3 linked regions of the Cricetulus griseus genome follow. The protein of the gene in region 1 interacts with the protein of each later gene in a pairwise test. Links are inferred from orthologs where the notes say so. Each region holds a gene or a part of one and is shown on either strand. Other genes may lie near its edges.

Region 1 (10,259 bases):
GAGGTCTCCCTTAGGTTGTCCTGCTCTGGTGGATGACCCCATACGCATTCGTATACATGAAGAACTTAGTGGATTTAGTGGGTTATAAAAAAAAAAAAAAAGGACATGCAGTTGGGAAGAGGACAATGGAAAGGGATCCAGGAGGAGTTGGAGGGGACAAATCAGAGGCAGATATGATCAAATATATTATATGCACTATCAAATTCTCAAAAAATATGTTTTAGAGCACTAGATGCCCACCAGCCTTGGTCAGCCTCATGCCAGCAGAGGTTCTCTGAGTAGCATCCTCAGGATGCCCCTGTTCTTAGGGAGTTCCTGTGTAAGCCCTGGCATGGTTCATCCATGGAAGGACCCTCTCCAGCCTTGCACTTGACTGATGCCAGAAAGCACCTGGAGTCTGAAGCTGGCTTCCATTGATGGTGTCGAGTTTGTGAGTGACAACAGCTGCCATGTTGATCTAGCCAGGTGTGGTGATGAGTCCCAGAACTCAAGAGGTGGAAACAGGAGGACAGACAGCCACAGTGAGGCTAGCTGAAACTAAAGAGTCTCCCCAAACAGTCAGCCAGAAATCACAGAATGAGGATCCCCACAGGTAGGGAGCACAGTGGCCCAGCAGAGTCCTAAGCCCTGACTGCACATCCCTGCCCATCCACAAGCACTCCTTTCCCACATGTGTAAGTGTGTCTTCCATGTGTCTCCAAAATGAGATTGAAACCCCTTAAGAGCAACAACTTAGAGGGCAGAAACAGGAGGATCCCTAGTTCAAGGCTAGCCTGAGATATACAGAGAACTAGAAGCCAGCCTGAGGTACATAGTGAGACCCTGTCTTTAAAAAAATTAAATACAACCTAGCAGATGTGTATATGTGTATTTCACAAGCTCTCTGCAGTGTAAAACATAGGAAAGACCCCTTCGTGATAGATGAGACACCACATTTGAGAAAGCAGGAATAGCAGTCTATCTGTTTTTCTCTCCTATTAACACTTTGGGCAGATTATCAATTTTTTAAATTATTAACCTTCTTAAACTACTTTTCACTGTCTGTAAAACAGACAGCATAATTGATGTGACCCACAAAGTAGCTCTGCCCAGGACCAGGCATTTGACATTGCTTAGCCAGCAACAGCAGCAACACAAGCTCATTCATCCCAGTGACCTGATAAAAAAATACTGCTTATGTTGCCCTCTTGGTTTATTTGTTCATTTGTTTGGAGTTTTTGTTTGGTTTGGTTTGGTTTGGGAGTTTTTAATTTGGTTGGTTGGTTGGCTGGTTGGTTGGGTTTTTTGTTTTGGTTTTTTGGGTGTGTGTGTGTGTGTGTGTGTGTGTGTGTGTGTGTGTGTGTGTGCGCGTGCAGAGGGAGGGTCATATATCTTCCTCAATCACATTCTGTCTCATCTTTGTAATATAGGGTCACTGAACCTGGAGCTCATTAATTCAGCTAAACTGGCTAGCCAGCAAGCCTTAGGGATCCTGAGTCTGCATTCTCAGAAATGGGGTTACACTGCACCCAGATTTCTATGTGGGTTCTGGGGATCCAAGATCAGGTCCTTGCGCTCATGCAGTAAATACTTTTGTAACTGAAAATCTCCCCAGCCAGCTCAGACTCTTCCGATGCCACAGCCTACCCCCCAAGTCACACTCTTCCAACGCCATGCCCTACCCCCCAAGTCACACTCTTCCAATGCCATGCCCTTTCCCCCAAGTCACACTCTTCCAATGCCATGCCCTTTCCCCCAAGTCACACTCTTTCAATGTCACATCCCATCCCCCAGGTCACATTCTTCCAATGCCATGCCCTATGCCCCAAGTCACACCCTTCTGATGTCACACCCTACCTCTTAGAAGTGAAATCTCTTTCCAGATAATTGTCTTCAGCAAAAGCCAATGTCAAAATCTCTATCCAACTGACCCCAAATTTGGGAGGGAAGGGGAAAGGAGAGACAAGCCAGCCCCTTGGAATTTTGGAAACTGCCTATTGGAGAGGGGACAGTGCTGGCAGCTAGGGATTGGGTGGACTGGATGCCAAATAACTCCCAGTGCTCAGAACTGACCCCGCAGTGAAGAATCTTACATCTCAACACCACCAGCACTTCCACTAAGCAAACAAACCACCTGAGAAGCACCTGTGAACAATGAATGGGCAGCAAAGCCATCTCAATAAACAGGTGAAAGAGGGAACGCTGGAAAATCAGTTAGAAAATCACCAATACCTCCTAAGGGTTTCAGGTGGCTCCACACAGAAAGGAGCCTGGCTGGCAGAGGTCAATGTCTCTCCCAAGGCCTTGCTGACTTCCTGCAGCTGTCCTGGGGACAGCTGGGCCACCAGTGGCATCAGATCACAGCCCTGCCACTGGAGCAGTGTCTCCTGATCCTCCAACTCTTGGCTCAGCTGTTGTTCTTTTGCCTCCAGCGCAGACATCCTTGATTGGAGAGCTTCGATTTCCTTCTGCAGAGAATGGGGGAACAGATTTCATCCATTAACCCTGCTCTGCTACTAATGAATCGGTTAAATGAGAGCAGGCCATATGCACCACAATCTCGGAGCCCACCCCACTCTTCCGAGGCAGGCCAATTCCAGAAGTCTGCTGAACTGGGAAAATCATGCCAGTTTTATGTTTCTGATGAGTTGGCAGGAAGAAAAACATCCTCTCCTTCCCAAGCATTAAATACGGACAAGCGCTAGCCAAGGTTTTGACTTGAGAGAACCCAGCAAATGATGTATCACTGGCTTCGCTTCTGATGGGGAAGCAAAGGCACTAGCCACTCACACCAAACACTGAGACACCAGCTGTGGGCCAGGAGGGGAAAGGGCAGCCTGCTCCCAAACACAAGAACTTAGGATGTACAAAAACACAAGAACCTTGGCTTGTCGGGTCAATAGGATTGGGAGAACAAGATTTGTCGAGCCAGAGTCTAGTGTCCTTCAGACTGTTGGACCAATTTACTTCCCAGGATTGGTGAGAGAACTCCATCAGTCAAGTGCTTGCCATGCAAGCATGAAGAGCTAGTTCTGATACCCAGAACCCATGCAAAAGCTGGGGACCCACAGAATGAATCTGCAAACCCAGCATAGGGTAAGGGGAGGTAGAAGACAGGAGGATGCCAGGGACTTGCTAGCCAGCCTGTCTAGCCCAATCAGTAAAGTGTAGATTCAGTGAGAAACCCTGTGTCAAAAAAATAATAATAATAAGGTAAAGGGATATTGGAGTAAATATCAAATATCAACTTCTGTCCTCCACATACATGTGCACATACATGCACCTGTGCCCACATTCAAACTCAAACACACACACACACACACACACACACACACACACACACACACACACACACACACACACAATTTGCCCTAATTTATTAAGCTGGAATCTAAGTTAATCCATAACCATCATCTGTCTCCAGGCCAAGAAATAAACAAGCAGCAGGTAATTGAACACAGTGTGAGCTCAGCACTGGGCAGATAGCCATCTCACTGCGTAGGAGTCTGAATATAACACCAGGCTCTACTAACGGACACACCCCCTGTTCCCTCACTGTTCCTAGCTGATAAGAGTACAGCTTAATTCCTGATATCTCCCTATCTCCAGGATGTTCTCTCCACCCACAGTGCAGATTCTCCACAGCTTCTACCTCCTGCACCCACCCAGAGAAGAGAGAGGGCTGAGCTAGCCCACAGTCTCAGTGTGCTCAACAGAAACTCAAAACTAACCACTCTGTGAAACCCACACTCTTTGTTGCTCTCATTTTTGTTTTGTTTTGTTTTGGTTTGGTTTTGGTTTTGTTTCTCAGAGTCAACATCTCACTCAGTAACTAGCCCAGAACTCATCTTATAGCCCAGGCTTGAACCTATAGCAATAAAGCCTCGGCCTCCCCATACTGGGAAGACAGACTCAAGTTTTTCTAAACTATAGTAAAAAAGACATAACAAAAGACATGGCATCTCCACCATTTTGCATGCACAGTTCAGTAACATAGGCACACACACAAACTGGGCAAGCATCCCCACCATCCAACCACAAAACTCCGTCTCCATTAAACACCAACTCTCCATCCCCCTGCCCACCCACACACCATCCCCTCCCCTGCCTCCCACCAATCTGCTTCCCTACTGGAGGATTTCTTCTAAGTAGAATCTTACAGTATCTATCTTTCATGACTGGCTTATGTGGCATAACACACTGTCCTCTACATTCACCCGCACTGTGCCCTGTGGCACAATGTCCTTTTCCTGAAAGGTGAATAACAGACCTTTGCATCCACACCACATTTGGCTTATCCACCCAGCTGTCATCAACTATAGTAATCCAGATGTCTCATCTAGTCTGTGCTTTTATTTCTTTGCAGGTGCATAACCACAATGGGATCGCTGGGTCCTAAGGATTCTATTTTTAAGTTTTTGAGGAACTGCAATCTATTTTCTGTGATGATCCTACATTTTTCCTCTTTTGTTATTTTTTCCATTTTCGTGTGTGTGTGTGTGTGTGTGTGTGTGTGTGTGTGTGTGTGTGGTATGTGTATGTTTGCATGTATGTGGGTATGTGTGGGTAGGATGCCTATGCATGTGGTTGGGTGTGTATGTGGAGGCCCAAAGTTGATGTTAAGAATCATATTTGAGGGCTGGAGAGGTGGCTCAGTGGTTAAGAGCACTGGCTGTTCTTCCAGAGGACCTGGGTTCAATTCCCAGCACCCACATGGCAGTTCACAACTGTCTGTAACCCCAAGATGTGACACCCTATCACAGACATACCTGCAGGCAAAACACCAATGCACATTAAAATAAATAAATTATTTAAAAGAATCATATTTGATGGCCTTTCCACTCTATTCACCGAGGCTCTTCCATGATTCCAGTGTTTCTCATAGCTCCCAGTTCCTGCTCCAGGCTTTAGGCTCAAGTATGCCCACACCCCACCACTTCTCTGTCCCTGCCCCAGGATATTTACTGTTTCAAAAACTTCTGGAGCCCCTCCTGGCTCTGGTCTCACTTTGGATCCTCATTCAGAGTTCTAACCCTGGGCACTTCTTGGCCAGATGTCACCACTGCTCTGCACCAAGCATGGCTTCCATATACCTGCTGGTCATTACAGATGCAGCCTCATGCCGAGCCCAGGCATAAAACCATGTCCCTTAACAGTTACTTCCCAGAGTTCACCATGATAGGAATTCACACAAAGCATTCCCAGAGCACAAACCTCTCCCTGTCCCTCAAAGGGGAGCGTCTATGGGTCAAATAATGGGAGAAACACTAGCTACAGTCAGAGAGCAGAGCCAGAAGGTTCTGAGGCCCATAATACTGTGCAGGTGCCTTTGCAGGTTCCTCTGTGCCCTCCGGCCGCAGCATTACCTCTGCTTGGAGCCCTTACACTCAACAGTGTGAAGACCGACTTCACTGCATCTGACTCACATGGATAAGAAAAGGGCCAGTGCCTCTCTGGAAAATTCTATACCACTCACCTGCAATTGCTGTTTCTCTCGAATAAGCCAGTCCCGCCTGGTGATGGATGCAGATGGACTATCCTGGGCAGTGGTCCTTGGCTCTCCATCAAGTGGGGCCTCTGGAGCATCGCTGCCAGACCTGCAAGTAACAGATATGCATTGGTACAGGTGTTGTGGAACATAAGATGTGTTATATTTGTTTATGCTGTGGAACATTTGTTTAGTGATGCAAAGATGTATTGCCTTATTTTATGTTGCATTTGTTTAACTCTGTAAAGCTGTGTTACTTCACCTGTCTCAAACACCTGATTGGTCTAATAAAGAGCTGAACAGCCAGTATTGAGGCAGGAGAAAGGACAGGCAGAGCTAGCAGGCAGAGAAAATGAATAGAAAGAGAAATCTGAGAAAAGAAGATACAGGAGGACATCAGGGGCCAATCACCCAGCTAAACAGCAAGCCACAGAGTAAGAAGGAAAAAAACGTATACAGAAATAGAGAAAGAGAAAAGCCCAGAGGGAAAAGATAAAATAATTTAAGAAAAGCCTGCTAGAAACAAGCCAAGCTAAGGCCAGGCATTCATACGTAAGAATAACATTTATTTGGGAGCTGGATAGTGGGCACCAAAGAGCAAAGAGTAAAGAGTATAAAACACAACTGATTACATACAGGTGTAGTGAAGCAGACATTGCCAGGTCTACATGTACTTAAAGAGTGAGAAACTGCACAAAGCTTCCCCAGTCACAGGGTCACCCAGGCACTCACAGGGCTGAAGTCCCTAATGTACATGTTTCAACTATAATCTGTCACGTAGACCAGGCTAACTCATACCATCCTAGTTGCCTGTCTGTTGCTATGATAAAACACTCTGATCATAAAGCAACTGAGAGGAGGAAGCAGTTTATTTCGGCTTCCATCCTTCCACCCTCACTAGCCTGCTGTCTTATAGAACCCAGGACCACCAGCCCAGGGGTGGCCACACCCACAATGGGCTGGGCTCTCCCCCATCAATCACTAATTAAGAAAACTAATGCCCTACTGACTTGTCTACAGCCCAATCTTATGGAGGCATTTTCTCAATGAGGCTCTCTCCTCTCCAATGACTCTAGCTGTGTCAAGTAGACACATAACTAGCCAGCCTGTCACCTGCACTCCTGCACTTTCCAAGACACCCCAGGTCGTACGACTCACAGAAAGTTCAGACACCTTTTCCCCCTTCTATCACATCCCACCCTCCCCTGTGGGGCAGTCCCCTGAGAGGCTCTTCCTAGGACAGCACTGGATAGGGAGAACACGGTTCACAGAGGTCAAGGCCACAGTGAGAACTTGGATTTGCATTTCTCTGGCGGTGTCTTTGAACAAACCCAACCCTCTGAACCTCACTGTCCTCCTCATACTGGGCTACCTGGAGAAGGAAGAAAGACACCCTGTCCTTGGGGCATTTGCTGGAAACCTCCAACGTCTCAACATGTGCACCAGTAAAGTGAACACCGGACCTGTCTGGCGGACACACTCCTACACAGGATGAACTTTAATATGAAGACAGCAGCACAACGAGCCTCTTCCGTGTATAACGGCTCTATGGTGCTCTTGGCTTCCAACAGCTGTGAAAAGAGGGTGCAAGCCCTTCTCTGGGCTCTGGGCTCTGGGCTCTGGGCTGCTACCTGCTCTTTGGGCTGGACTGTGAGTCTCTGAGGGAGACATGGCTCTTCTTGTGCCAATGTTCCCAGTGTCCAGCACTGAGCTGGGACTCAGCTAACACCTGCTGGGTAGCTTAATGAGTTCATAGCCTTGAACATGGAGAAGTCATTCCCACCCTGTCTCCCGCTGCATTTGCTCATTTCTTCCCCTTACTTATTTCCCAATGTGTTTGGTCTATGCTGATATTAGAGTTCATTGAATTTCTCCATTCACTGCCATCTGGGTGGAGGTGGGAGCTAGTGTAGGAAGTCAACACAGAACTGAAAAATCAGCTGCAGAGAGAAGCTACAGGTGCAGAGCTGGGAACTAACTCTATGCATGATAGTTAAATCACATCCATTACCACCCCATAAGCCCCTGTGCTTAACCAACACCCCTCTGTCTGTCTCTCATACTCCTACTACCAGGACAGAAAAGAGATCTATGGAGAGCTAGGGGTGGCCTCAGGACACATGGCTCACATAGGGACGGGTTCCATCTTCCATGTTTTTGGTCCCCAGAGTCTCCCAATACTGCATACTCTTTTATTTATTTTTGTAAAGTCTCAATATGTGATCCCTCATGGCAGAGCAAATTGGAATCCTTGCTATAAACTAATCAGTATATAAAATAAGCAGACCCCTCCGGGGAAGATAAAAACCTGCAATAGCACGGAGGTGTAGGGGGCAGGGGTATGTAAGATCTAAGATAACACTCTCAGCCTTGGGGGTTCAGACTGGTACCCACTAGGACCAGCCCAGTTGTAGGGAATCTTCCTCTTTCTGACCGGAATCTTTCCTATCAATCACTGAAGGGATGAACCCCACCTGTAAAACCTGATCATGCACCACACAGAAAAGCACAGCTATAAAATGTACAGACAACATCTTTATTTCCTGATAACATCTTGTGAGCTTCCCTTCTGTGCCCTGGGTATTTATTATAACCTGAGGATCACTGGGCCCTGTGACACTTCAGTCTGCTGTGCTATCCACTTGAAATCAAAGGCTTGTATGCTCGAGAGGAAGAAAGGAAAAGCAGGCAGTCCAGGGTGGCATGCTGCCAGCCTACACTTACCATTTTGGTCCCATCTCAGGGGAACAGACAAGCAGCAGCTGTTACATCTGGACAATGCCAGAGTTCTATCATGGTCAGATTGGAAATCCTTCCTGTCCTTCATTTTTTATCTTTTTCAGACTCTGCTCCTGCATGTTTTAAGTTATCCTCTGGGGAAAGGTCTCTGATTAAAGATATTCTGTGTGTGTGCATGAATTTAGGTAGCAAGAGTACCAGTGTGGATGCCTATGCTAGTGAAGAGCCAGTGAGAAGTCACATGACATGGTATGCAATTAGGGGAAAACAAGGTATAAATGAGAAAATTACCAGTCAACAACAATGCTTGCCAAATACTCCAGAGAAAGGAAAATCTTTCCTTCTGACCCTGGTGTGTCAAAGAGGTGGAATTTTCCCCATTGTTCCAGAATCAGAAATGGGAGTTGACAAGAATAGGCCTAGAAGTATTTCACCTTAAGTCTATAACTGTGGGGTAGGAGCCCCCAGTGGGATGCCACCCTCAGCACCTCCTGCTTACCCGCCATCAGAGTGAGGTATGAAAACATACCGCCTCCCACTTACTGGAGCAGACAGAGAGCTATCCATCCTGCTCCCACAAAAGAGATCAGAAAGCCCAGGCACCTCAAGATGTAAGAGTGGAGACTGATTCTCCAAGGTACACAGCTGTCCAGTTTGGGTTCTCCTGACAGCTAGGCTTGAGGCAAGGATATGAGCAGATTGTTTTTAGAGAAACAACCATAAGACACCATAGAACTGGAACCTACAGGGAGAAGAGTCAGAAAAAAATATATAATCTAACTGATCATCACAGAGGCAACTGAGGCCCCATCCTACCAGGAACCTTCTAGAAGAAGAAAAACATGGCACATTGCTCAAAACTGCCCCTAGAGGCCAGGGCACCGGTGACTGTTGCCCTTGGGGTTATATTCATATGCAGCTGCCCAGGAAACAAAAATATCCCTCCACTGTCATCACCTTCATAATCATCATCACCACCACCACCAGCAGCAGCAGCAGCAGCAGCATCACCACCATCATCACCACCACCACCACCATCACCAGCAGCATCATCACCAGCATCATCACCAGCATCATCACCAGCAGCATCACCAGCAGCATCACCAGCAGAATCACTACCACCATCACCATCATCACCATGTACTTCAGTACAAAATTTTCCTTTTGTGATTTTCACTCACACTAATAGCAGAGTTTCAAAACTGTCTGGCAGAGAACCTAGGTAAAGTGCTAAGACAGTGACATTAATGTATCCTCAGCTGCAGAAGGTCCTGGAGGCTCAAGGCAAAAACGCGATGCCAATAGTGTCTGCCATAGCAGCTGTCACAACCCTTCCTTCTGACGTGGCTTGTCCTATGGCAGACATGGGGGAACTGAGCAGCATGGCAGACGGACATGGTCCATTGTGGGTAGTCTCAGCACCCATCAGCCCACAGCAGAGGTGTGTCAGCTTCGGCCCCATGGGAGAAGTGGGGCCACATGGTAAAGCAGCTATTGCTGAGGCACAAGAAAGTCATTTCAAGTCAGAGTGCAGGCCATGAGGTAGGGACCATGTGAGCCCCACAAGACAGTGAGCATACTGACACCTGCCTACAGAGGACATTGGCTCCACTAGCCAGGAAGCAGCTGTGACAGCAGAATAAGTGTCCGAACAGTAGGCAGAGAAAGCTATGAATCTGGCCTGTGGTTGGCATCTCAGAGTGACATGGCTATATGAAGAAAACAAAAAAGCAGAAATGCCCCAATGCCTATGCTATCTACCTGGGATACTGTAACCAAGTGGAGACGTGGATTTACCACACTGTTAAAGAATAGTGGTGCAGGCCTTCAATCCCAGCACTCAGGAAGCAGAGGAAGGTGGATCTCTGTGAGTTTGAGACTGCAAAGCAAGTTCCAGGACAGGTTCCAAAGCTACAGAGAAACCCTGTCTCAAACAACAACAAAAGGACAAAACCAGAGGCGGGCGAATCTCTGACTTCAAGATCAGCCTGGTCTACAGAGTGAGTTCCAGGACAGCCAGGGCCACACAGAAACCCTGTCTCAAAAAAAAAAA
Region 2 (10,965 bases), on another chromosome or scaffold:
TACTGACAGAAAAAGTAGTATCGGTTAGAGAGGGGTCTCTGAATGGTGTGAGCAGGAGCCCTATGCGGTTGAATAGCGGGAAACGAGGCTGTGCCGACAGGAATAAAGGAAAAAGGACATCTTGAGCAACGAGCAGCGGGACACACACAGAAACAGTGGGGTGTCTGGGGGGCATCTTGAGCAACGAGTACCGGGACACACACAGAAACAGTGCCATGTCTGGGGGGACCTTAAGCAAGTCAGAGCAACTGGAGAACCGGGCAGGAAAGAACGGTGGAGACAAATCTGAAAGGAAGACACAAAACGCAAACAGCTTTGAGCGTGATGGAGGGGCGAGGAAGGAACTTACAGCCAAAATGACCGTGGGCTTCTGAGCCTCCTGTCTCAATTTTCCAAGTAGTGGGGTTATAGACTTGTGCCACTGCTCCCAGATTTTCGGAGGCTGAGGGTCAAACCCAGGTTTTCATGTCTGCTAGCAAGTTGTCTACTGACTAAGCCGGATCCCCAGGCCTGTGTGCCTATTCCTTGAATGCCTTTATGGCCTAAGAGAGCTCACATATATCGTTTGACTTAATCTTTGGGTGAGGAAAGGTAAACACTCCTATCCTACTGGGAAAATAGCTGTTCAGAGGACTTAAGTAATTTAGAGGGACTTGCATCTTGGAAGCAGTGATTATTTTTCACCCTCAGCTCCCTTACGGAAGGACCTGGGCCAGTGGTGCCAATATGGAAGGATCAGGATACACTTGCATTTTATCCAGCGCAGTAGTGGCGGATGAGTTAGCCAAAACAGAGATGGACGTGCAAAAGCCAAGCCAAGCCCAACAAGGAAATAGTTCAAGAATCAAATAGTATCCAGAAGTCAGGTTGTCAGGGCCAAGGAAGGTAAAGTTTCACAGCCAAAACTTCACCAGTAATTGTTCCAAAGGCCAAGTTCATTATTGAAGCTGGACCAACGGAGTGGGGAGGAAGGCCAGGGAGCTTCACAAGTGGGCAAGCTACCAGCTAACCCTAAAGCTGCTGGCCGGGCTGACATTCAAATTCTAAGGATTTAGGGATAGCGATGACACAAGGAGCCAAGCTTTGTTGTTTGTTTTGAGATGGGGGAAAAGGGTGGTCTCTTGCTGCCCAGGTTGACCTTGAACTTGCTCAGTAGCTGAAGCCGACCTTAAACTCTCCATCTTCCTGTTTCCATCTCTGAGTGTGGATGACACCATGCCTACCTTTATCTCCTTTTTCTTTTAATTCTTTATAAACTTTATTTTAAAGCTTGTGGATAAAATAAACATCACATATCAAATTCATTTTAAAAATAATTATTCTTATTTTATGTAACTTTTTGTTTTTTTGTTTTTCAAGATAGGGTTTCTCTGTAGCTTTGGAGCCTGTCCTGGCACTCACTTTATAGACCAGGCTGGCCTCAAACTCACATAGATCCACCTGCCTCTGCCTCCTGAGTGCTGGGATTAAAGGTGTGCTCCAGTACGGCCCAGCTAATTTTATGTATTTGAGTGTTTGCCTGCACTATTTTATATGTTTGTGTGTTTGCCTGAATATATGCGTGTGTGCCACATGTATTCCTGGTACCAGTAGAAGTAAGGATGCTGGAGTCATGGATGGTTGTGAGCCACTGTGTAGAACCACCTAAGAACTAAACCTAGGTCTTCTGCAAGAGCAGCCAGTATCATTATCTGCCAAACCATCTTTCTAGGCCCCAAATCCATTTATAAGCACATGAGGAAGCTAAGGCTGAAGCAGAGTGGATTGTTGGGTGGAGATCAGAACTGGAGCTATGTATGTGGTCTGGGAAGATAACTCAGCTAGAAGTGTGTGTTGCACAGGCACAAGGAATTGAATTGTGATCTCCAATAACCCCTGCACTGGGGAGGTAAAGACAGGCCAATACTTAGAGCTTACTGGCCAGACAGTCTACCCAGTCAGTGGATTCCACATGAGTGAAGGAACATTGCCTCCCACCCCCATCCCCCAAAAAATGAAGTTCAGGGGCTTCTGAAGAGATGGCTCAGTGACAAGAATATTTGTTGCTTTTACAGAGGACCCTGGTTCTGTTCCCAGTGCCCACTTGGCAGCTCACAACTATCCACAACTCTAATTCCCACTTCTGACCTTTGTGGGTACCAGGAACACGCTGGAGATACAAACATACATACAAACAGGCAAAACACATAAAATAACATTTAAAAACAAGCCAAAAAACAACAGGGTTTCTCTGCCTAGCCCTTGGCTGTCCTGGAACTTTCTTTGTGGATCAGGCTGGCCTTGAACTCAGACCTGTTTATGCCCCCTGAATTCTGGAATTAAAAGCATATATCACCACTAGTGGCTAATTTTTTAATCAATCTATTTATAATCAACTTATTTTTATGTGCATTGACATTTTTGCCTGCATGTATGTTTGTGCAAGGTTGCCAGATCACAGACTGTTGTGAGCTGCCATGTAGGTGCGGGGAATTGAAGCTGGGACCTCTGGAAGAACAGCCAGTGTTCTTAACCACTGAGCCATCTCTCCAGGCACCTAATTTTGGAGGCTATCTTGGAACTAGCTCTTGTAGAGCAGGTTGGTCTCGAACTCACAGAGATACGCCTGCCTCTGCCTCTTGAGTGCCGGGATTAAAGTCATTTTTTCAAATGAGGTTAATCTCTGGCCTGGAGAGGCACCCACATGGACACACACCCATATGTACATGTGTACACACCCCTGCAAACACATACATACACCATCACACAGGAACTAGAATGCTAGGCCCAAGCTTTTTTATTTTATGTAAATCCATCCTTTCTGCTATGGAAACAAACCAGTTAAAGAAGGCTTCCGATTTAATTTGCTTCTCTGTTGCTGTGATAAAACACTGCTGAGAGCAACTTGGAGAGGAATGGGTATGTTTGGCTTACAGGTTCCAGTACATCATCAAGGCAGGAACTTGAAGTAGTAACCATGGAGGAACACTATTTATTTGGCTGGCTTACAGGCTCACATTAGGCTACCTTTCTCATACACCCCAGGACTACCTACCCAGGGGTGACACCTCCCACAGTGAACTGGCCCCTCCTCCATCAATTAGCAATTAAGAATATGTCTCCACAGACCAACCTGAAGGAAGCAATTCCTCGGCTGAGCTTCCCTCTTTCCAGGAGTCTCTAGTTCATGTTGACAAAAATTAACCAGTGCACAACACGGCAGAATGAGCCCTATTAAGTATATGGCCCCTTATATGATAGGGGTCCTGCTACTAGAATAGGCCTGGGGCTCAGCGGGAGAGCTAGAAAAGTGTGATGGCATTGTTATCAGGAGTAAGTGGAGGTAAGGCCGGGAGGTCAGAAGATAGACAGGCCTTCTTGGGATATGGAAGGTTATAGAGAAGTGGTTGGAGTTAGAGCTTGGTGCAGGCACGAGGCAGGGAATCAGTTAACTGTGCTTCCAGCAGAGTGTTACAGGGAAGGCCAGGCAGAAGTAAACCAGAATAGGGAGTAAACCATGTTTAGGAGTTAAGCTCCAGGAGGCCTGGTGACACCCTGAAGAGTGGGGGACGGTGACATGTCCCCATCTGCAAGCAAAATGGAAGGAGCAGTGAGAAACCGAGAATGGCGGTTGCAGAGAGAACACGCGTGGGTGGTGCAGCCTCAGCAGACACACTCGGGGAGTGGGGGTTTGCATGCTGGAGGAGGGGCTCCCAGACTTGAGGGCTGGAGAAAGCATTAGCAACCTGACAGAACCCTGTTAACAAAGGAGGGACTACATCTCCCAGCATGCTCGGGTTCGGTGGGGTGACGGCGGGCGGTGGCTGCGCCGCATCCGACTGGTGGGCGCGGGACTTGGGTGGGCACCCGAGCCTGTCATCCCTGAGGGGTCGGCGGGGTGCGGGTGGCGATGCACCGCTGTCCCTCGCGCAAGGGCCAGGCCGGGCTCTTGTTCCCCGCCCCGCGGCCCCGCCCCTTGCCCCACCCCAGCCGGGAGACCTAGCCCCGGCCGCAGCGCAGCGGCCGCAGCAACATCGCTCTCGCCGCCGCTGCTCCGCCCCAACCCCTTCTGTTTTTCTCTCATTCTCCGGTGGCGGCGGCGGGGAAGGCGCAGGAGAGGCAGCAGCAGCCAGCTGTGTCTGCAATGAATGATCCCCCAGCCGGAGGGGAGGACTCCAGGTGAGCCTCTGCCCTCGGGAGGATCGGGATTCCCTGGCCGCCCAGGTCCCGCATCCCCCGCCATGGATCCCTAGGGGAAAGGAAAAAGGAGGAGGAAAAGACAGCTCTGCCGCCCACCCCCATCACATTTTCCTCTTCCTTTATCTCATTGTTGCCGAAGCTGTTTACCGTAGCGCTCCCTCTTGCCCCAGTATGGGGCGGGTTCCAGGCACTGCCCTTCGGCAGGAGCTGCTTGCGCGGTTGCCTGGGGATTCTGCCTAATTCTACCTCTCCAGTCTGTGCACAGAAAGCTGTGGAGAGCTGTGGAGGCCTGGACTGCAGCAGCCTCTGGGCCGACTCCCTGCATCCCCACCCTGGTAGGCTGCATGCGGATTGAAGATCGGTGTCTGGGGGCTGGGCCAGCCTGGCTGATCCCGACCTAAGAGTAGGACAGGAGGACCTCCCAGGTTGCAGAGCGGCCCTTCTGGAAGGACAGAGCCCCAAGATGGCCAGTAAGACCAAGGCCAGCGAGGCCCTGAAGGTGGTGGCCCGGTGCCGCCCTCTCAGTAGGAAGGAGGAGGCTGCTGGTCATGAGCAGATTCTGACCATGGACGTGAAACTGGGCCAGGTGACTCTGCGAAACCCCCGCGCGGCACCCGGGGAACTGCCCAAGACCTTCACCTTTGATGCTGTGTATGATGCTAGCTCCAAGCAGGCCGATCTGTATGATGAAACGGTGAGGCCCCTGATAGACTCAGTGCTTCAGGGTTTCAATGGCACCGTGTTTGCTTATGGCCAGACCGGCACCGGCAAGACCTACACTATGCAGGGGACCTGGGTGGAGCCAGAGCTCAGAGGGGTTATCCCCAATGCCTTTGAGCACATCTTCACCCACATCTCCCGCTCCCAGAACCAGCAGTACCTGGTTCGTGCCTCTTACTTGGAGATCTACCAGGAGGAGATCCGAGACCTGCTATCCAAAGAGCCAGGCAAGAGGCTAGAGTTGAAGGAGAATCCTGAAACAGGGGTCTATATCAAGGACCTCTCCTCGTTTGTCACCAAGAATGTCAAGGAGATTGAACATGTGATGAACCTGGGGAACCAGACCCGGGCAGTGGGAAGCACCCACATGAATGAGGTCAGCTCCAGGTCCCATGCCATATTTGTCATTACAGTGGAGTGCAGTGAGCGTGGCTCAGATGGCCAGGACCATATCCGAGTGGGCAAGCTCAACCTGGTAGACCTGGCTGGTAGTGAGAGGCAAAACAAGGCAGGTCCCAACACAACTGGAGGGCCAGCCACACAGCCAGCAGTGGGTGGTGGCAGCGGAGGTGGCAGCGGTAGCGGCGGTGGCAGCAGCGGAGAGAGGCCTAAAGAAGCCTCCAAAATCAATCTCTCACTGTCTGCTCTGGGCAATGTGATTGCTGCTCTGGCCGGCAACAGGAGCACCCACATCCCCTACCGGGACTCCAAACTGACCCGGCTGCTCCAGGACTCACTGGGGGGCAATGCCAAGACCATCATGGTGGCCACACTGGGTCCAGCTTCTCACAGCTACGATGAGAGCCTTTCCACCCTACGCTTTGCAAACCGAGCCAAGAACATCAAGAACAAACCCCGGGTGAATGAGGACCCTAAGGACACGCTGCTGAGGGAATTCCAGGAAGAGATCGCCCGCTTGAAGGCCCAGCTGGAGAAGAAAGGGATGCTGGGTAAGCGACCTCGGAGAAAGAGCAGCCGCAGAAAGAAGGCTGTGTCAGCCCCAGCAGGTTACCCAGAGGGGCCAGTGATTGAGGCCTGGGTGGCAGAAGAAGAAGATGACAACAATAACAATCACCGCCCACCCCAGCCCATTCTGGAGTCAGCTTTGGAGAAGAACATGGAGAATTATCTGCAGGAACAGAAGGAGCGGCTGGAGGAGGAGAAGGCCGCCATCCAGGATGACCGCAGCCTAGTGAGTGAGGAGAAACAGAAGCTTCTAGAAGAGAAGGAGAAGATGCTGGAGGATCTGCGGAGGGAGCAGCAGGCCACAGAGTTGCTTGCAGCCAAGTACAAGGTAAGGACCCCAGAGGATGAGAGAGGTCCCCACAAGGATTTTGATTGGTAGATTTTCTTTCCTTTGAGGGTCTGTGAGTTGGCCTGAAGTGGGCTATGCCACCTTAGGACCACATATTGATAACTGTCCCAGAGCAGCTTAGCAAAGCACTATAATACTAGGTAGCCAGGTACACTTGCATGCATTCACACACACCAAGCAGAGTGGGCAGGTTCTTGAACCAGTGGACTTGAGATGGTCTGACCTGCTGCTGTCCATCTCCAAATGGCCCCGGGATTGGTCAGGTCTATGAGAATCCCATTCAGGACTCTCCTCTTGTGAGTGTGGCTTGTCATTCCTTATGACTTCCTCCCCTGATACTCTCCACCACTTGGTGTCTTCAGACCTCATATATTAATAGCATCTGACGTTCAGACAGCACATCACTGTTTACAAAATACCCAAGTTTCGTCTCACCTTGTCTCATCTTCACAAGAGCCTTCAACATAGTGGCTTTTAAATCCTCATCTTATGGATGAGGAATTAAGGCTCAGGCTCAGAAAGTGACAGGACCAAGGTTCCCTTCTTCAGAGCTGCAGAGTTGAGCTGGTACCCTCAGACTTCATAATTTTAGTCTTCAGTAGCAAGGCCAGACCATGAGGGTGAGAGAATCCTGCTTCCTATGGAAATGACCCATTGGATGACACAGTGCCAGGCCTACTCCTGGTGACATTAGGAAGGAGACTCAGAGTGTCATGTAGGAAGTAGGATGGAGAGAGAACTGGGATCTATCCCAGAGAGTCTATGCCTCTTAGGCAACAGCTCATTGAGTGACTGGCAGTGTTTTTCTCTTTTCCTCTTACCTCCATTTCCCTTTGTGTAAAGTAGGATGCTAGCCTGAGGGATCACTGAGTATCTACCAATCTGATAATTCTATGGCCTATATTAATCTGAGAAAAAAGAACAAAACATTTTTGGCCTACACAACGAGGCCTCGTGTCAATCATTGTCCTGAGAGTCGCCAGGGCTTCAGCATCCTTCCTGAGCTGGCCACTTCTGAGAGAACCTCTCGCCCTATGTGAACCTAGGTTATTGAGTCAGTGGTAGACCTGTTAAATTTCTTCCTACTCCTTTTTTTTTTCTTCTTTGTAAATAGAATCTTACGTAGTTTAGGCTGGCCTAGAACTCTTTATGTAGCTGAGGGTGACCTTGAACTAATTATCTTCCTGCCTCCATCTCCTGATTGCTAGGATTACAAGCAAGTACCATCACCATGCATGATTTTGTGCACAGTTGGAGATCAACCCCAGAGTTTTGTGCATGCTAGAAAAACATCTACCAACTGAGCTACATCCCCAGCTGCAGATCCCTGTTAAATTTCAGTGCTGCAGATGTCACAACCCAGTGTTCCAGGCATTTCCGGATCCCTGGAGCCTTCAACACTGGGGTTGGAGGAAAAATATGGAGAACCATGAGTTTGCTTGGAAGATCAAACACTGTCAATTCTTATTTCTTCTTAGGAGTGTGGGCTCGGAATGGGGAGGCCCAGCCCACAGCCAGTGGAAGAGTGACAACTGAGCTATGTGCATTGTCTATGTACTGGGATATGCTGCTGCACCAGGGGCTGTGGCCTGGCGTGTTTAATATTTAATTCACTCATAGAGAAGCTCAACTAGGGTTATATTGAGCTGCTTCCTCAAGGGAAGGACCAGGGTCTTGGTACCTGGGAGGTGCAGGATATTAAAGGCAAGGCTGCTTGTCCAGTCTTGTTTAGCAGGGAGAGAGTCTAACATGCAGGGTGATGTTATTGAGTGGAAAATTCTATCTGGTCCATCAGTCATTGATTTCTTTTCCAAGGTATCCCTTACCGTGTTAAGCTGGGAGGCAGTGGGGGTAACAGAGGCTGATAAAGGAAGAAAGTGCAGATGGGTATTTCTAATGTTCTTGTTGGGAACTGACTGGTATCTTTCCATAAGATTTTTGCGTCTAAGGCAATGTAAGAACACAGGTAATAGGACAGTCAGGAAATCAGGGTGGAGTTGTGCATAGTGGGATGCATCTGGAGTCCCAATTGCTTATAAGACTGAGGCAGAATAGTTCAAGCTCAGGAGTCCAGGCCAACCTGAGCAACATGATGAGACCCTGTTTTGAAAATAAACACAAGTAGCTCAGTCAATGGATTGATCAATACAAAGATCTGGGTAGCCAGAACTGGAATTCCTACACTAGGTGTATACCCAATGCAACATTATAATCTTATTGTTGGCAGGGGCCTTGGAGTAACAATGTAGGTCTGGCTCAGGGTCTGGCACAGGTGGCCTGAGCAGAGCCCAGACTGTTCATGCTTAGTCTAGCCTCTTCCCGTTGTTGTTTACATTCCTGATGAAATAATTTGGTTTTTTCTTTCCTTATTAGTATATATTCATTATATACAATTTTTCATTATGACACTTTTATACATGTGTATAATGTATTTTGATTATATTTGCCCCTTATGCCCTCTCTTGTTCTCCTCCTACTTCCAATGATCCCCTTACTCTTTTTAATCAACACCTCTTCTGCTTTTCCTGTGTGTGTGTGTGTGTGTGTGTGTGTGTGTGTGTGTGTGTGTGTGTGAGTCTGTCTGTGTATGTCCCAATGAGTTTCATTAAGGTTGCTTACAAAACCATGGGCACCTTACCAGTATCTAGACCACTGTGGGGGTGTCTTCCTCCTCCAGCAACCATTAAATACATGAAAGTAATTTTAAAGGTATATTTATTATGTGTACATGTGTGCCTGAGTTATGTGCACCATGTGTGTGCCTGAGCCTGCAGAGATCAGTCAAAAGAGGGCATCAGATCCCCTCGAACTTGGGTTGCAGGAAGTTGTGAGGCATCGTGTGGGTACTGAGAACTGAACCTGAGCAGTCTAGATGAGCAGTAAGCACTCTTAACCATGAAACCATTACCCCTGCTCAAGCAAAATGTTTTTATGTAACATTATAACAGTATAATCTTACTCTTTCAACAATCCCTAGTCATGGATACTGTTTCCATTTGGCAGCTATGAAAACCCAGGCTGGGGAGATGTTGGCTGGTCTATGAATCTGGTTAAGTGGCAGAGCCAGTACCAGAATTCAGGTCTTCTGATGTCCCCAGCCCTGTGTTCTTTTTATGTCACCCAAGATTTCTCCATGTTTGCTCCCTGTTCAACTCAGGGCAAAGGCTTTTTCCTCTCTGAGTGCTGGGTCCCTGTCAGTTAATGAGAAACAGAAGCTTGACATAGGTCCCAGGGGAGTGGGTGAGGTGGCCATTAGGTACTGGTTATCAGATATAAACTGAGCAGCCTGGGAAGTTCCAGGAGAAGAATGAATCCGTATGCTGTGATTTCTGAAACACCCTGCCCGGGATAATCAGCAGGGATCAAGGCCAGAATGGAACCCAGGCAGAGGACCCAACCTTCCTGTGCTGCCCCTAGGGTATAGCCAGATTCAGCCACACGGTTCTGGGATGGCAGAAACATTTTGACAGCTTCTTAGGAAGCCACAGGGTAGTTATAACATCCAGTCCCACCTCTTTCCCAGGGTTGCACTGGAGATGAAATGAGATCATTATTAGCATGGGGGCGTTTGAAATAGGTTGAAAACATTGAAATGAATGGAGGGCATTAGCGGCCGCAGGGTGCCTTCTGTCTGCCAAGCAGGGGTCCAAGACTGACATCTTTGTTGTTAGTTTAACTCTTTCCTTACCCTGCTTTTGTAAGTACATTACCACAACTCTGCAGAGCCAGGCAGGAAAGGTCTTAGAGACCTCGGGAGCCTGGGAGCTTTCCCAGCTTTCCCGTCTCAATCTGCAATTAACTCTTCCCCACTTTCTGAGTTAGCCATCTTCTGCACTTCTCACTCTCTGCCCCCTGACATTCCTTTCCTCCAATTCCTGCCACTCCCACCCCAGGCCAGCTAAGTGCAGCTGAGTCGACCCAGTGCCCTCATTCAGTGTCTGACTCATCTTGCAGTCTGTCTTGCCTGCTTTCCCTGACTGCCACCCTCAAGGCTCCTGATTCTCTTTGTTCTCTGGATGTGCACAGATGCCATGCCTGTCTCCTCTAAATCTCTCTCTTTTAAAAATTTCTCCTTTGGCTTTTACCACATTTACTTTGGGCCTCAGAATGTTGAGAGTACAGATGGTATGAGTTTGTGATGTGACCGGTGCCCTGTGTACCATTAATCATTAGCAAGCCATATACTTAGATCATATCTCCAGGGGGCTGGGGGACTTGATAGCAATCTGATCCTATGAAGTAGGAGGAATAGATAATATTACAGACTCACAGTGCAAGAGCTCAGTTCTCTGTAACCACACACACACACACACACACACACACACACACACACACAGTGGTGAGGACATGTAGAGGAGGCCCTCTCCAGTCAAATTTAATTGTGCAAGAAAATTTGCAAGTGATTGCTTTATTTTAAAGCTAAGTTTTTTGAGAGGTTGATATTGATTTCACAGACTTTAAAAGGAATCTATTTGAGGTAGGCAGGACGCAAAACCCAGGCTGAAATGGAAGAGAGGCATCTGTAACATTGGGGTGATTCTGCAGGAAGCAGGTCTACAGAGTGAGGAGCAGGGACTCTGGCTGGAGCCCAACTCTGTCTGTCTGTGGTGGGTTCAGAAAAGAAACCCTCAGAAACAGCTACCAAAGCCAGAGGGATGAGATCACCCCATGGAGGACAAATCTAACTGAATATTCATTGTCCCCCTTTGCGGGTTCTTCTTCTGCCTCCTATGTTGGAGAATGAGCCTTAT
Region 3 (10,904 bases), on another chromosome or scaffold:
ACCAGATCTCATTATAGATGGTTGTGACCCACCATGTGGTTGCTAGGAATTGAATTCAGGACCTCTGGAAGAGCAGTCAGTGCTCTTAAACTCTAAACTGTCTTTCTAGCCCTATATTTTAATGTTTTAAAATCAGTGTATTAGATATCATTATGACATATTGGAACAAAATGGACTCTTAAAGTTTTGCAAGTCCAGCCTCTTCCTGTCTTCATATTCTGATGATGGATGGTACTGTTATCCATCCAGTCACTCAGGTTGGGTTTATAAGTCCTCCAGAGTCTGTCTTGGGTCATCTCAATTACCACTTTATTTTTTTAAACTCAGGCTTATGTTTGAATTACTCATTTTCAAGTTGCTAGTTATTTATTGTGTATGTGTGTGTTCGTGCACATCTGCTATAGTGCGCTTGAGGAGGTCAGAAGACAAGTTCCAGGGACCAGATCAGCTCTCTACTCCCACCATGTGGGTCTCTATGAGTGAATTCAGGTTGTCAGTCTTGGCATCAGTTGCCTTTACCTGCCGAGCCATCTCTCTGGCCCACTACCTTCTTTGTAAATCATTTCCTGCTCACTCTCACTTCTCCTTTCTTGGTTCTGACCATTACCTTTTTTTTTCTTTTTTTCTTTTCTTTTTGCTTGCATGACATTTGAGTTACCTCATTCTCTTTCACTGCCTTCTATCTTCCAATCTTCTATCAGAAGTGATCTGGTAAATGTAGATCTTATTGAATGATCATATCCTTTTTCTGTTGTGGCTCTTCCAGCTTTTGAGGTACAATTCAATTGCTTTAGCCAAGCACCCATGCTCTTGATGGCCTATCTAGGATCATCTCACATTCAGAGGCAAAGATGTGTTGGCAGTTTCTTTTGTGTACTCTGTTCTGGCCTCTGGGCCGTTACACAGGCAGTTGTCTTTTTCTTTTTCTTTTTTTTTTTTTTTTTTTTTTTTTGGTGTTTCGACACAGGGTTTTCTCTGTGGCTTGGAGGCTATCCTGGAACTTGTAGCTCTTGTAGGCCAGGCTGGTCTCGAACTCACAGACATCCGCCAGCCTCTGCCTCCCAAGTGCTGGGATTAAAGGCATGCGCTCCCAACGCCCAGCCAATAAATCTTTTAAAACTTAAAATATAAAGAAATACCTAATGTGAAATATCAAGGAGGTAAATGGGATTAGAGATCAGAAAACACATTTTAAATCATCAGCACACAGCCAGTAAGTGATTTACAACTAGATGCCTACAGAGCTCCTACACAGAATGAGAAAACAGAAGATCAAGGAAAGCCAGATGATTCTTAGCAGCAAAAGACAGAAAGTCTACAAAGAAAACTGCAAAAGACCAGCAAGAAATGGCCTTGACGACAGGGTCAGTCATCACCCACATTAAATACTGTGCTGTGTGACAGACATTCTTTCTGTTAGTTGTTTTTTTTTTTTTTTTGGTTTTTGAGACAAGGTCTTACTACAGAGTCCTGGCTGGCCTGAAACACACTATGACACTATGTACACCAGGCTGGCCTTGAATTCAAAGATCTGCCTGCTGCCTTCCAAGTGCTGGTATTAAAGTTAGGTGTGCACCACCACATTAGTGCTTGACCTTGTAGCTCTCTCCTAAAAAAAAAAAAAAAAAAAATAGCATCAATAAATTCAAAATCACTGGCCAGGGATGGTGGCATATGCTAGAAATCCCAGTACTCAAGAGGCTAAGGCAAGAGAATCACCATGAATTCAAGGTCAGCCTGATCTACTACATACCAAGAACCTGTCTTGGGGGAAAAAAAAAATCCTCAAAACTACCAAGTAGTTCAACTGGAAAGATGGTGCTTAGCATGCAAGAACCCTGGATTGGGATCACTAGCACTACATTAAAAAAATTAGGCATGGGCAAGGGGGAAGCTAAAGAAATGGCTCAATCCTTAAGAGTACCTGCTGCTGTTCTTCCTGAGGACCTGTGTTTGATTCCCAGAACCCATAAGAAGGCAGCTAACTGTCTGTAATTCCAGTTCCAAGGGATTTGATTCCTTCTTCAGAATGCCTTAGACATCAGGCAAGAATGTGGTACACATATACACATGCAGGCAAAACAACCATATGTATAAAGTAATTTTAAAAAATAGGCATGGTATGGCAGCTCATGCCTTTAATCCCAGCACTTAAGTGGAGGCAGGGGGAATTCAAGGTCATACTCAGCTACATCATGAGCTTAAAGCCAGCCTAATCTACTTGATACCATGTTGGGGGAAAAAATTCTTGGGGACAAGAGATATAGCAGCAGTTAAGAGCACTTGCTGCTCTTGCAGAGGACCCAAGTTTGATACCCAACAGCCATATTGGGTGACTAACAACCACACCTGTAACTCCAGCTCCAGAAGATCTGACATCCGCTTCTGGACTTCCTGAGTACCCACACACATGTGGCACACACAGATACATACATAAATAAAATTAACAATCTTTTTTATTATTATTAAAATCCAGCCAGGCATGGTAGTGCATTCCTTTAATCCCAGCACTTGGGAGGCAGAAGCAGATGTATCTCTGTGAGTCCTAGACCAGCCAGAGCTATACAGCCAAGTCTGCCAACCTGAGTTTGATCCTTTAAAAAACAAAAAAGAATTTAAAAAGAAAAAAAAAATTAACATCCCAAAGCAACATATGTTCTAAATTACTAGACCATTTTCAGGTCATCACTTTAGCCACTGTTCAAAAACCTGCCTCCCTCTCTTCCAACAAAGGAAGATGTAAGGAATTACCTGTTAGTTTCCACTTAGTTTTGAATTCTGTTTTCAAATATTTGGATTTGATTCAAACAAAAAGTATAAAAAGCCAGTTATAGTGGATCATGCCTTTAATCCCAGCACTCAGGGAGCAGAGGCAAGCTTATCTCTCTCAATTCAAGGCCAGCCTAGTCTTTATGAGGAGTTTCAAAACAGCCAAGGTAACAGTGAGAACTTGTTTCAAATTAAATTTTTTTTTTTTTTTTTTTTTTGTTTTTGTTTTGTTTTTCGAGACAGGGTTTCTCTGTGTAGCTTTGGAGCCTATTCTGGCACTTGCTCTGGAGACCAGGCTGGCCTCGAACTCACAGAGATCCACCTGCCTCTGCCTCCCGAGAGCTGGCATTAAAGGCATGCACCACCAATGCCCGGCTCAAATTAAAAAATTTTTAAAAAGCAAGCAAGAGGGTTCAGCAGGGAAAGACTCTTGCCATTCAAGCCTGATATCCTGAGTTCAATTCCTAGAAAACACATAAAGGCACAAGGACAGAGCAAACTCCTCAAAGATAAAGGCACAGCAAGCCAAGTCTGCCAACCTGAGTTTGATCCTCAGGACCCAAATGGCAGAAGGAAAACTGTAAGCTACATATATATACACACACAGACACACTCAGAAATAAGTAAACATGAAAAAAATAAATTAGGCCAGGTGTAGCAGTACACACCTTTAATCCCAACACTCAGGATTCAGAGGCAAGTAAATCTCTGAGTTTGAGGCCAGTCTAGTCTACATAGTGAGTTCTAGGTTAGCCAGGGCTACCTATATAAAGATACCATATCCCATAAAAAAACAAAGTAAAATAAATAATTTAACTAGGGACCAGCAAGACAGCTCAGCATGTAAAGATGATTATTTGGGGGATAGAAAGATGGCTCAATGGTTAGAGCACTGGCCACCCTTCCAGAAGACCTGGGTTCATTTCCTGGCACCCACACTGTGGCTCAGAATTCCACACATATACATGGAGGCAAAACACCGACACATATAAAACAAAATAATAATTTTTAAATGAAAAAAAAAACAAAAAACAAAATGGGCTGGATAGATGGCTCAGAGGTTAAGAGCACTGGCTGCTCTTCCAGAGGTCCTGAGTTCAATTCCCAGCAACCACATGGTGGCTCACAACCATCGTTATGAGATCTGGTGCCCTCTTCTGGTGTGCAGATATACATGGAAGCAGAATGTTGTATACATAATAAATAAATAAAATCTTAAAAAAAAAAAAAAAAAAAAAAAAAAAAAACCTGCTGCTAGGCCTAATGACTTGAGGTTGATCCTGGAAACCTACTTGGTGAAAGGAGAGGCCCAACTCCCACAAGCTGTCCTCTGTCCTCCACCCAGCACCTGCACTATGGCCCATATGTGTGCACACATGTACATCTGTGCAAGCACAAATAAATATAAAATTTTAAACTAAATTAGAATAAAATAAGGTATCTGAAAACAAGCCAAAGAAATACAGAAATTTTAGGGGCTGAGGCTAATGTTCAGCAATATAATGCTTATCTAGGATCTCCAGCATCATATAAAAAAAGAAACATGAACATTTGCCATGATGTATACACTTTAATTAAAGTCTCATTTCTTTTTATTTAAAAATATAACTTGGTGGTGGTGTGGCAGTGCATGCTTTTAATCCTAGCACTTGGGAGGCAGAGGCAGACAGTTCTCTGTGAGTTTGAGGCCAGCCTGATCTACAGAGATCCAGGACAGTCAAGGCTACACAGAGAAACCCTGTTTCAAAAACAAAAACAAAGGGCTAGAGACATAGCTCAGTGGTTATGAGCACTGGCTACTCTTCCAGAGGACCTACCACATGGCAGTTCACACCTGTCTGTAACTCCTGTCTGTAACTCCTGTTCTAGGGGATCTGACACCTTCACACAGACATACATGCAGGCAAAACGCCAACATACATAAAATACAAGTAAAAAATTTAATTAATAAAATAAAAAAAACTCTAATTTGAAAATATAGAAAAAAACGTACTGTTTCTGCCAATTTAAACGTATTTTGAAATGTTAAGTATAAAAAATGGGAGGAAGGGGCTGGAGAGATGGCTCAGCGGTCAAAGGCACTGACTACTCTTCGAGAGGACCGGAGTTCAAATCCCAGAACCCCTATGCACTTCAACGCTGTTTGTAACTCCCAAGATCTGTCACTCCCACACAGGCATACCTGCAGGCAAAGCACCAATGCATATAAAAAGTAAATACATTAAAAAAAAAAAAAACTGATTTCTAAAAAAAAAAAAATAAAGGTAGAAAATGTGAAGAAAAAAAAAAAACTGTTTATGGCTTATGCCTGAAATCTCAGCACTTGGGAGGCAGAGTCATTAGAGTACTAGGCCAGTCTAGACCATATAGCAAGATTCTATCTCAAAACAACAAAGCTTAAACTTAGCACAGTTTTACACCGATCAAAGGATTGGTAGGAAACATAAAACTAAGGCAGCCACATAATTACATTCTCGAGTAGTTAAGAGATAATAATTCATACTTACTATAGGACACTGACTGTATTTCCGACAAGTCAAAGGACTCTGGTAATTCCCCAGGTTTACCATTAGAGGTAAAACCTTAAACACTTCACACATCTTTAAAAAGTAGGCCTCAATATATTTAATACCTTAAAACCAAGGAAGCTGAAACATGAAATCTAATATACTGGTCATAGAAGTCAGCAAGTCCTGATGGCTCAGCAGTTAAGAATACTAACTAATAGGACCCAGGGTTCAATCCCAGCACCCACATGGCAGCTTACCACTGTCTGTCAACTCCAGTTCCAGGAGTTCTGACACTGTGACACAGATATACATGCAGGCAAAAAACCAACACACATAAATAAAAATAAATGTATTTTTTTAAAAAAGGAAATGAAAACACAATTATACAAGGTCCTCCAGTTCCTAGGCAATCGATTCTTCAGACTGTTTCCCCATTCAATCCCTCCAGCTGTACCATGGGGAAAAGACTGCAAAGAATGAGTCACTTTGGACCCCTTTATATTAATATATGCACTCATCCAACAAGAGCAGCCAGAACAAAAGTGAGGATAAGATCCAGTCTACATTACCTAAAGATTTCCCAAAAGTCCAAATATTTAGGTTACACAGACTGCATTATTCTGATTTACCCACTATACTATTCTGGAATTACATGGAGCAGATCAAAACAATCTTAACTATATCATTATCTAACTCTCAAGGAAGGCGAGGCTGACAGAGGACTTCTAGCACTACTTATCAGTTCTTGGTCCTCCCTCTCACTTCCTCACTTTCAAGCCTTAAGCTCAGTCTTCTGCTTAGCCCTAACCAAGAGTTCTTCTGCCATCTCCGAACAGATCAGAAAGAACCATAAGAGACAAATGGTCACTGTCCCACATTGCCCTTGAAATGAAAGGACACAATGGCTACCTGTTGAAAAAAATTAGTGTAAGGGTTCATGAACTGGCCTAAGGAGCAGCAGATGAAGAGTTGTACACATAAACCTTAATATACTATATGAAACTTCAGAGTAAACAAATGGTTAATGACACATCTTTTGTAACACATGAATCAGCTCTGATTTGCAAAAGTGGGACACACCCAAGTTCATATGACTCTAAAGTAAGTACCTGTTTGAAAATGGACCTCAAAGTCTGAATTGCCAACCCCATAAGCCAGGTTTGGAACAGAATTTTACTAGTATGCAAGCTGTAATAATTTAAGGTTTAAAAAAAAAAAAAAAAAAATGAACTCTGGGGCTGGAGAGATGGCTCAGTGGTTAAGAGCTCTGGCTACTCTTCCAGAGGACCCAGGTTCAATTCCCAGCACCCACATGGTAGCTCACAACTGTCTGTAACTCCAGTTCCAGATACCTCCACACCAATGCACATAAAATAAAGTTAAATAAATTATTTTAAAAAATGAACTCATCATTATAATAAAAGTTAATTTGAGAACTTCATTAATATTTTAACACCAATCAAGAACAGCAATAATACAAATCCTAAGAAGCTAATAGTCCTCAGGATAAGTATCCTGTAAGGTAATTGAAGAGTTGTAAATTCAAGAACATCCTAGCATTTGGAATGTTGAGACAGGAAGTTCATGAAGTTAAAGGCATGCTTAGCAATCTAAAAAGTTCAAGGCAGCCTGGGCTACCATGAGACCCTGTCTCAAAACACAAATAGCAAACAAATATTCTTGGTTCTAAAACACTCATATGAAGTAATAAGGAAAAACCAATACATCTTACCTTAAGAGGCATCCAAATAGCATTCATAGTGTCAGGAATAGTTCAGATGAGCCTCAGAAAGAAGCAGGGAGAGACTAAGAAATCCCCTCAGTTACCACGGATAAAAGTGGCAAGATCTGAAAAGGAGGATGTTTCATTTAGATGACAATAATCTAGAATATGCAAATAGCTTATTCTATCTGGGAAGGATGCTAAGTGCCAACTGCCTTACCATCCTAGAAAGTGTGCAGGTGTGGCACACACTTTTAATCCCAGCACTCAGAGGAGGCTGAGGCAGGCTGTCATCTAGGAGTTCAACACTGGCCTGGTATACTTAGTGAGTTCAGGGTCAGGCAAGGCTACTTGTTGAGATGGTATCAAACACAAAAACAACAACAAAAGGTACAATATACAATTCTCTTTGGAAAGGGAATTTCACATGTATATTTTACATCAGAGACCATAAATTTTAAATAATCAAAAATTACTTATTAAAGATTCAGAAAACCAAAATCCAGGAGGAAAAGTTATTCTCCCATTCTCCCAGAGTATTATTTCATAAGCACTACTGAAAGTGATTTATTAACTCGTCACCGGAAAAAAAAAGTCTACAGCTACTTTTATTTAATAAATGTAAACCTCTCTGGCAACTCCAATGTCCTAACTTTTCTTAAAATTAAGTTTCAGCCGGGCGTTGGTGGTGCACGCCTTTAATCCCAGCACTGAGGAGGCAGAGGCAGGCGGATCTCTGTGAGTTCGAGACCAGCCTGGTCTACAAGAGCTACAAGTTTCAGGACAGGATCCAAAGCCACAGAGAAACCCTGTCTCAAAAAACCAAAATAAATAAATAAATAAATAAATAAATAAATAAATAAATAAAGTTTCAGAGCTGATTCTACATCATCATCATTATAATAATTGTTGCTATTCTTCACTGAAGTACTACAAGTTAAAAAAAAAAAATGGAGGGGGGGAGAAAAGATCCTTCTTTCCCAGAGATCTTTAAAAGCAGCCCAGAGGAATTAATTTTGAAGATGGTGGGTGCTAAGTGTGTAGGGACGCAAAAGGATGGACTAAATGACCCCTTCCTTGTAGGAGCCTTAAGTCCTAGGCCTGAATGAACATTCCAGCTTAACCAGTTACTGCTTCACTTAAAATGGAGGCTTGCCCGCGTAGGAACACAAAAATAACACACTCACCTCTTTAAAAAAATAATTTCTTAAATTCAGAGTCGAGGTCCCCCGTTTTAAAAATAAAATAAAGCACTGGGGTGGGTTTGCTCTGTCTCCGCGTTTGTCACTTCGGTTAGGGAGACTTGGCATCACTTTGCCTACCGCTCACCGGATTTGGGGGGTGGGGACCGGAGGAGTTTGACTCTTGACCCGACTCGCAGGCGAGCCTGAGCGCCCCTCCCCACCCCCGCCCCCACCCGCGAGGCGACGCGACGCGACCCCCAGGTTCCACAGAACCTCGGGGCCGAGATCCAGAGAGCGCCAGTCCCGCCCCTCCCCCGCCTCCGACCCTCGTCCGGGAGCTCCCCCACCCCCTGCGGCCCGCGACTCCTCCGGCCCGGTCCCATTGTTAGGAGGGGCGGCCGGGGCCGGGGCTCGCGGCCGGAGCCCGTGGCCGTTGCCCGACTTGCCTCAGGAGGGGGCGGCCCGCGGGATGCCGCTTCCGTCCTGCCCGCCGCGGTCCGTCCCACCTCGCTCGGCCTGGGCCCCGGGACACCGCTCGCGCCCCCGCTCCGGCCCGCTGGCCTCCCGTCTCCCGGTCCGCCGCGGCCCATGGCCCGAGGCCCAGGCCTGGCGGTGGGCGCCGGGCCGGGGTCCCGCGCCCCACACGCGTCCCTGCGTCCTCAGCCCGGCCGCCTTCAGGGCCCTCGGCGGCGCCCGCTCCCGCGACCCCTCAGCCTCCCTCCGCCCGCGGCGGCGCCCCCCGCGACGTCCCCGGACGGGACGCCCCACTCTGCGCCACCATCACCCCGACCCGCCGCGCCCCCACCCCGGGGCAGTAGTGCCAACGGCAGCTCCCCGGCCCCGGACCTACCTGCACGGCTCAACCAAGCTAGAGTGGGGGGGGCGGGCAAGCTTTCGCCCTCCTGTGTCTCTCATTGGCCCGTCCGAGGCAATTCGCGAGCGTCATTGGCTGCGAGTTGACGTCCGTCAGAGCTGTGGGGCGGGACGGTGTAGGGGGGGGGAGAGATGCTGGTGCCTCGGCGTCTCTGTCTCTGTATCTCTCCTGTCTCTGTCTCGGCCCTAGGAAAGGAGAGGCTTGAGCTGGACCGAATTGGAAGGGGGCCTAGTGGGAAAAATAAAAATAGGAAACCCTACAGTGCTTCACAGCAGTCCACCACTCAACCCCTGGCCACAGTCCCTCAGGTCCTCTTCTCTGTCACCCCCAACCCCTGCCCCTCACCCTTCCAGGTTCTTCATCCAGGAAGCGATGTGATGAAAACCGGGCCCGGAAGGCCATAGGGAGAGAGATTTTGTGTATGTACATTAAATATACACATATGATTGCTAATTTATGAAGTCAATCAGATTTGAGGTCATGAGGGCCTGGAAAGGCCACACATCTCACAGACCAGGAAGGAATTGAGAGAGCTGATAGTCAAAAATCACTCTCAGAGGTGGGAACAGTGGTTACCTCCTGGGATGAAATGGATTGCCCAGCAGACCAAGGGAGTGAAAGACTTAATCTCAGGCACATCCTTTGTAGATACTGATTTTCATACCATTCATAAACATTTCATATATATATATAATATATATATATATATATAATATATATATTAGCCAAGCGTGATGGCCTACGCCTGTGATTCTAGCACAAGAGACCAAGGTAGAAGAGTAATAAGTTCAAGAGCCAGCTTGGGCTAACAAAGTGAGTATTAATTTTTTTTTTAATCTTTAAATCAGGTCACAAAATTAGAAACAAACCACACGAACACGGCCCATGGAATCAACTAACCGGGGCTCCTAGAGACTCAGAGAGATAAAACCGACATTCAGGGACCCTGTAGATGCTACCTAAGACCTCTGCATACACGTATGGTTGTGTAGCTTGTTGTTCTCGTGGGACTCCTAACAGAGGCAGAGGGGGCTGCTTTCCTCCAACTGCCTCGTCCAGTCTTGATTTTAGGGCATGTGCCTAGGCTTATTGTAACTTGTTATGCCATGTTTGGTTGATATCCCTGTGAGGCCTGCTCTTTTTTGAAGGGAAAAATAAGAGGAATAAATCTGAGGGAGAGGGGAAGTGGAAGAGGTGGACACGGAGGAGAGAATGGGAGTGGAAGCTGGGATGTAATATGAGAGAAGAATAAATTAAAAAAAAAAAAAAGAGCCGGACGTTGGTGGCGCACGCCTTTGATCCCAGCACTCGGGAGGCAGAGGCAGGCAGATCTCTGAGTTCGAGGCCAGCCTGGTCTACAGCCAGGACAGCTTCCAAAGCTACAGAGAGAAACCCTGTCTCCAAAAAAAAAAAAAAAAAAGAAAGAAAGAAAAAAAAAAAAGAAAAGAAAATCAGGACAATATCCAGATTTAGTGGGGAATCTTACTTTTTATTTTTTTTTTTTGTTCAGCTTCAAATACTAGTAATAAGTGTGTCCCAAGGCATTCCATAACACAGAAGACAGTAAACAATCCACAGATGAGGAGCTAATTGACACGCTAAAGGACTGACTTTCTCAAATTGTAAAAAGAAAAATGCAACTAAAATTAAGATGAAAAATACTGGCGAGGCAGCATGAAGGCAGAGGAGCAAGAGTCTACTGCAGAAAGAATACAAAACTACAAGAGAAGCCGGTCGTTGATGGCACACGCCTTTAATCCCAGCACTCTGGAGGCAGAGGCAGGCGGATATCTGTGAGTTCGAGGCCAGCCTGGTCTCCAGAGTGAGTGCCAGGATAGGCTCCA

What was found. The genes of interacting proteins can lie anywhere in the genome.
Region 2: the proteins of Disc1 (region 1) and Kif3c interact in binary tests that used the Homo sapiens proteins (3 or more experiments, as listed by UniProt). The link is inferred for Cricetulus griseus from reciprocal best matches to the Homo sapiens genes DISC1 and KIF3C.
Region 3: the proteins of Disc1 (region 1) and KAT8 regulatory NSL complex subunit 1 interact in a two-hybrid assay, tested with the Homo sapiens proteins (2 studies listed by BioGRID and IntAct). The link is inferred for Cricetulus griseus from reciprocal best matches to the Homo sapiens genes DISC1 and KANSL1.

The regions. Positions count from the first base shown.
Region 1 is NC_048596.1:201,876,366-201,886,624, reverse strand, and holds part of Disc1 (disrupted in schizophrenia 1 protein), read right to left. Parts: intron 5,577-10,259; coding exon 5,456-5,576; intron 2,448-5,455; coding exon 2,212-2,447; intron 1-2,211. UniProt on the Homo sapiens protein: Involved in the regulation of multiple aspects of embryonic and adult neurogenesis. Required for neural progenitor proliferation in the ventrical/subventrical zone during embryonic brain development and in the adult dentate gyrus of the hippocampus.
Region 2 is NC_048600.1:14,283,263-14,294,227, forward strand, and holds the start of Kif3c (kinesin-like protein KIF3C), read left to right. Parts: upstream 1-3,838; 5' UTR 3,839-4,642; coding exon 4,643-6,193; intron 6,194-10,965.
Region 3 is NC_048600.1:117,489,321-117,500,224, forward strand, and holds the start of KAT8 regulatory NSL complex subunit 1, read right to left. Parts: upstream 7,128-10,904; 5' UTR 7,012-7,127; intron 1-7,011. UniProt on the Homo sapiens protein: Non-catalytic component of the NSL histone acetyltransferase complex, a multiprotein complex that mediates histone H4 acetylation at 'Lys-5'- and 'Lys-8' (H4K5ac and H4K8ac) at transcription start sites and promotes transcription initiation.